Linked DNA regions of Saccharomyces cerevisiae S288C. The gene in region 1 interacts genetically with each later gene. Each region holds a gene or a part of one and is shown in the gene's direction. Other genes may lie near its edges.

What was found. Genes that interact genetically often act in the same process or in processes that back each other up.
Region 2: mutations in HAP3 (region 1) and GAL80 together harm fitness more than expected from each alone (negative genetic interaction), as found in Saccharomyces cerevisiae (3 studies listed by BioGRID).

Annotation. Positions count from the first base shown.
Region 1 is NC_001134.8:181,160-184,166, reverse strand, and holds HAP3 (Hap3p), read left to right. Parts: upstream 1-2,072; coding exon 2,073-2,507; downstream 2,508-3,007. Other genes in the region: RFT1 (glycolipid translocation protein), read right to left, coding at 42-1,766; ATP-dependent Lon protease PIM1, read left to right, coding at 2,892-3,007. UniProt on the Saccharomyces cerevisiae protein: Acts a component of the CCAT-binding factor, which is a transcriptional activator and binds to the upstream activation site (UAS2) of the CYC1 gene and other genes involved in mitochondrial electron transport and activates their expression.
Region 2 is NC_001145.3:169,738-173,401, forward strand, and holds GAL80 (transcription regulator GAL80), read left to right. Parts: upstream 1-1,856; coding exon 1,857-3,164; downstream 3,165-3,664. Other genes in the region: YML053C (uncharacterized protein), read right to left, coding at 1-17; SUR7 (Sur7p), read left to right, coding at 665-1,573; AIM32 (Aim32p), read left to right, coding at 3,402-3,664. UniProt on the Saccharomyces cerevisiae protein: This protein is a negative regulator for the gene expression of the lactose/galactose metabolic genes. It binds to GAL4 and so blocks transcriptional activation by it, in the absence of an inducing sugar.

The DNA of each region.
Region 1 (3,007 bases):
GCGCATATTATGTGTCGCCTAAGTTATATAAGAATTTTTGTTTATACATCTTTAGAATTGGAAACCGCCCTCTTGTTAATAAAAGATTGTATGGTTTGGCGCTCCTTGACCAAAATTAACGCTAACAATCCCATTGCGAATAATACGTTAACAACAAATTGTTGTAAATTTTTAACGTACCCAATAAACCACCAGTCAAGTAGACAGATCGTTGAGCCAGCAATAATAACTGTTTTGAAATCCTTAAAATTGAAGAAAAAAGAGGAATCTGTAAACAGTTCCCTATGAAATTTATTCAAGAAAACTCCACAATACAATATTCTCAACACCATGTTAATGATGTTACTCAATATCAAGCCTTCGATTGATAGTTTGAGTTTTTCAATAAGAAGCCAGGAATTGAGCAGGAAAATACCAGAAAAGGCCATCATAAAATATGAATGTTTCAAAATTTGGTCACCAGTGGCTACACTCTGGAAAAAAGCTTCAAAAATACCATTAAGCGATAAAAATGGGATGTAAAAGCAGTAGACTCTTATAGTGTCCAAAACGGAAGTAGTGGACCATTTCGAGCCAATCAAGAACTGCAATAAAAAGGATGAATTGGCAGGCCCAAATACAATGATCATTAACGATAAGTATATGTAAAACCTTGTTAAATTCACCAGGACTTCAATAGATAGTTTTAAATTTTTAGGGTTATGCGAGGATAATAAACGGGCCAAAAATAACCGCAGAGATTCTTCGATCGGCGCAAATAATAATCTTGTTAGTAGCGATCCATAGTTCGACAATAGAGCGTAAATGCCTTGTTCTTCCACAGTACATAAAGAATTGATAATCAACTTATCACCCTCTGTCAACAAATGCTTAAAACATAGTTGAAAATAAACTTTTTTGAAGTGCTGTAAAATGTCGTTTTGGAAAAAATAAGATGTGCTCTTTGGGTAGCCTTTCTTCAATTCGTTATTTTCACGCGTTTTTATCTTCGTTAGCCTGGTACTGAACAATTTCTTTGGTTTGAAATTCTTGAGATAGTCCCAGTAGTAACATGCTAGCAGGGTGATCGAATGTGCTAACTTTCCCAAGGCAAATGCCAATATGGCGATGCCTTCTTTGTCAATGTCCGATGTGACAACCCCCATTGGGTAGCGGGATTGCTGAACGGCATAAACAACTATAAAATTGACAATACATCCTGTAGTCACCGCGATGCTTTCAAATCTTGACCTTGCGGCATAGTTCAACATAAACTGGTTGACGATGAAGAATGGCTCGCTTAACAGCTCCACGATGATACTCAGCCAGATAAGAAAAATCGACCACCTGAAGAATGGAAGAGTGATGAAATACGCGTTGATGTTTCTGTACTGCCAGGCGATAAGACCAATGGACAGTGGAAACCCGATCCAAAACGGAATGTAAGCAAAATTGACTGCGGTTTGCAAAACTTTAGACTTGTAATGAGTTTCCTGGTACTCCTCCTCGTCGTCATCATCGATTATTCCATTACCGGAGTCTGAGATTCTCAACGTCGACAGACGAATCGCATCTCTGCTAAAAAATAACACTGTGCCCTGTATAAATTCTAGAAAGGCCGTGATACCGAAAATTCTGGGCGACAGAAACCTGATCAACAAATTATTTAGTATGAACGTTACCAGTTTGGTGAAAAGTTGGCCCATCATGAGGAAGGTAGCTCCTGTTGTGGACCTTTCCAAGATCTGCTCACTAGTAGAGGGCAATTGTGAGTTTTTTTTCGCCATTTTTTCTTTTCCTTCACTGACAAAAGCAGAATCAACTTCAAATCACCCTATCTGTGGCCCTTTACTGCTACTAATACGCATTGTCTTCTCCAGGCTGCGATTACTGCAAACCTTCTGCCAAAATATAGCACAATAGAAGTACCATATTACGTTCGATGCCACGACAATATCGCGCTACGTGCGTTTTTTGGTCCGCTCTTTCAGACTAAGTAAAAAAAGAGCTGCGAATAGTAGCTTTCCGCCAATCAAACTCAAGAGCAGGACTAAGCTAGATAGTAACACAAGTGGCACAAACCTCTCGAGAATATGAATACCAACGAGTCCGAACATGTTAGCACAAGCCCAGAGGATACTCAGGAGAACGGTGGAAACGCTAGCTCCAGCGGCAGTTTGCAGCAAATTTCCACGCTAAGAGAGCAGGACAGATGGCTACCCATCAACAATGTAGCGCGACTCATGAAGAATACTCTCCCACCGAGTGCTAAGGTATCGAAAGATGCGAAAGAGTGCATGCAGGAGTGTGTCAGTGAGCTCATTTCTTTTGTGACTAGCGAGGCCAGCGATCGATGCGCTGCTGACAAAAGAAAGACGATAAACGGGGAAGACATTCTCATATCATTGCACGCCTTAGGATTCGAGAACTATGCAGAGGTGTTGAAAATCTACTTGGCTAAATACAGGCAACAACAGGCGCTGAAGAATCAACTAATGTATGAGCAGGACGACGAAGAGGTGCCTTGAGAAGACAAAACCAGGTGGTAGATCGCAAAAGTTGCTAGCTGTCAGGATGGAATAGCACGGGGCTATTTCCTGCTGGTCGTTGGTTCTCGTGTAATTAATGAATGTAACGATATAGATAATATTTTATTGTTAGTGTGTAATGTATTCAATGTAATGTATGGGTGCTTTGTAAAGGGTGTATGATGTTTGCCACCGGAAGGAAATAAGTCAGACGAAGTCTTTTAGCCATGCTTTTGCATTGGTATTGCAGCAACGACAAGCTGATACGGTTACTAGGACACCTAAAACCTGATAATACAGTGTGCATTTGCAGCTGTTTCAAAGTTTAGTTGTTTTTTCTTTTGGTTTTCGAGGTGCTTGAACGAAAAGATTTGCAAATAGAGCATGCTAAGAACAAGAACCACAAAGACCCTTAGCACAGTGGCGAGGACCACAAGAGCTATCCAATATTACCGATCTATCGCTAAGACTGCTGCAGTTTCTCAAAGAAGGTTCGCATC
Region 2 (3,664 bases), on another chromosome or scaffold:
TCATAGTATGAGAGCATTTCACGCAGCACACTTGAGTCTTAAATTAATGAATAAAAGCAGCCAACCCCAAGAAAAAAGAGCCCTTATCTGTTTCTGTCGCAGTCCTATTGTATTCTTCCTAACTATATAATTTTGTCAAAATGAAAAATATAAAAAAAATAATAAAGTCAGCTGAGTGGTAAAGAGAAAGCAAAGGGAGAGAAAAATCGGTTACCCAGATGGATTAGGTTACCCAGATGTCATACGTGTATCATGATTTCTAGAAATTATTACCCTGTTTGGTACCATGACAACGGATATGGCAATCTTGCATTAAGTAAAATGTCTCTAATGGGACCGTGAAGGTACAAAACAGCAATGGTCTAGGTAGTGGCATTCGAAGCTTCGAAAGCGTGGCCTCGCCTCGAGCGTGAAGTCATATTTTCTCACTCTGCACTGCCGTGCTGTGCCATGTAGCCCACTGTATGCCTCTAGCACCCCAATCGGGAAAATTGTAAACATTAGCAGGTGTCGCCTCGAGGCCCCCGATACATTTTTCAACATCTCCTCGATACTTAAACAGCAAACAAACAAGCAACACCCACGCAAGAAGATTTATTAATACCTCTTGACTCCCGTAGATATTGAAGAGACTAAGTATAGTAACGCATATCCGCACAATACTATGGTTAAGGTCTGGAATATAGTACTACGTCTGGTAGTGTTGCTGTTTTTAGCAGGTAATACCTTGCTGTTAATTTTGATGATTATATCTGGTGCCACGGACCATTACCCCGTGAACAGATTCTATTGGGTGCAGGGCAATACAACAGGCATACCTAATGCTGGGGATGAAACACGTTGGACGTTTTGGGGCGCCTGTCTACAGGATAAAGACGGGTCGGATACCTGCACAAGCAATTTGGCACCTGCATACCCCATTTCCCCAGTAGATAACTTCAACACACACATCAATGTCCCTCACCAGTTTATTTCCAAAAGAGACGCTTTTTACTACCTGACTAGATTTTCATTTTGTTTCTTTTGGATTGCGCTTGCCTTTGTAGGTGTGTCGTTTATCCTTTACGTTTTGACTTGGTGCTCGAAGATGCTTTCAGAGATGGTGCTTATCCTCATGTCTTTTGGGTTTGTCTTCAATACGGCAGCCGTTGTCTTGCAAACGGCCGCCTCTGCCATGGCAAAGAATGCTTTCCATGACGATCATCGTAGTGCCCAATTGGGTGCCTCTATGATGGGTATGGCTTGGGCAAGTGTCTTTTTATGTATCGTGGAATTTATCCTGCTGGTCTTCTGGTCTGTTAGGGCAAGGTTGGCCTCTACTTACTCCATCGACAATTCAAGATACAGAACCTCCTCCAGATGGAATCCCTTCCATAGAGAGAAGGAGCAAGCAACTGACCCAATATTGACTGCCACTGGACCTGAAGACATGCAACAAAGTGCAAGCATAGTGGGGCCTTCTTCCAATGCTAATCCGGTCACTGCCACTGCTGCTACGGAAAACCAACCTAAAGGTATTAACTTCTTCACTATAAGAAAATCACACGAGCGCCCGGACGATGTCTCTGTTTAAATGGCGCAAGTTTTCCGCTTTGTAATATATATTTATACCCCTTTCTTCTCTCCCCTGCAATATAATAGTTTAATTCTAATATTAATAATATCCTATATTTTCTTCATTTACCGGCGCACTCTCGCCCGAACGACCTCAAAATGTCTGCTACATTCATAATAACCAAAAGCTCATAACTTTTTTTTTTGAACCTGAATATATATACATCACATATCACTGCTGGTCCTTGCCGACCAGCGTATACAATCTCGATAGTTGGTTTCCCGTTCTTTCCACTCCCGTCATGGACTACAACAAGAGATCTTCGGTCTCAACCGTGCCTAATGCAGCTCCCATAAGAGTCGGATTCGTCGGTCTCAACGCAGCCAAAGGATGGGCAATCAAGACACATTACCCCGCCATACTGCAACTATCGTCACAATTTCAAATCACTGCCTTATACAGTCCAAAAATTGAGACTTCTATTGCCACCATTCAGCGTCTAAAATTGAGTAATGCCACTGCTTTTCCCACTTTAGAGTCATTTGCATCATCTTCCACTATAGATATGATAGTGATAGCTATCCAAGTGGCCAGCCATTATGAAGTTGTTATGCCTCTCTTGGAATTCTCCAAAAATAATCCGAACCTCAAGTATCTTTTCGTAGAATGGGCCCTTGCATGTTCACTAGATCAAGCCGAATCCATTTATAAGGCTGCTGCTGAACGTGGGGTTCAAACCATCATCTCTTTACAAGGTCGTAAATCACCATATATTTTGAGAGCAAAAGAATTAATATCTCAAGGCTATATCGGCGACATTAATTCGATCGAGATTGCTGGAAATGGCGGTTGGTACGGCTACGAAAGGCCTGTTAAATCACCAAAATACATCTATGAAATCGGGAACGGTGTAGATCTGGTAACCACAACATTTGGTCACACAATCGATATTTTACAATACATGACAAGTTCGTACTTTTCCAGGATAAATGCAATGGTTTTCAATAATATTCCAGAGCAAGAGCTGATAGATGAGCGTGGTAACCGATTGGGCCAGCGAGTCCCAAAGACAGTACCGGATCATCTTTTATTCCAAGGCACATTGTTAAATGGCAATGTTCCAGTGTCATGCAGTTTCAAAGGTGGCAAACCTACCAAAAAATTTACCAAAAATTTGGTCATTGACATTCACGGTACCAAGGGAGATTTGAAACTTGAAGGCGATGCCGGCTTCGCAGAAATTTCAAATCTGGTCCTTTACTACAGTGGAACTAGAGCAAACGACTTCCCGCTAGCCAATGGACAACAAGCTCCTTTAGACCCGGGGTATGATGCAGGTAAAGAAATCATGGAAGTATATCATTTACGAAATTATAATGCCATTGTGGGTAATATTCATCGACTGTATCAATCTATCTCTGACTTCCACTTCAATACAAAGAAAATTCCTGAATTACCCTCACAATTTGTAATGCAAGGTTTCGATTTCGAAGGCTTTCCCACCTTGATGGATGCTCTGATATTACACAGGTTAATCGAGAGCGTTTATAAAAGTAACATGATGGGCTCCACATTAAACGTTAGCAATATCTCGCATTATAGTTTATAAAAGCATCTTGCCCTGTGCTTGGCCCCCAGTGCAGCGAACGTTATAAAAACGAATACTGAGTATATATCTATGTAAAACAACCATATCATTTCTTGTTCTGAACTTTGTTTACCTAACTAGTTTTAAATTTCCCTTTTTCGTGCATGCGGGTGTTCTTATTTATTAGCATACTACATTTGAAATATCAAATTTCCTTAGTAGAAAAGTGAGAGAAGGTGCACTGACACAAAAAATAAAATGCTACGTATAACTGTCAAAACTTTGCAGCAGCGGGCATCCTTCCATCATAGCTTCAAACATATTAGCGTTCCTGATCTTCATACCCGTGCTCAAAATGATCAAACAAACTGTTATTGCCAAGAAATAAACGCAAGGCTGCCTTCAAAAACTGATCCATTAGATCCTCATATCAAGCTTCCTCATAGAACGCCCAATTACAATAAGCATGTTTTGCTGTTATCACCGGGTGATAGGTTTGCTCAACCATGGAAGGTAGCATG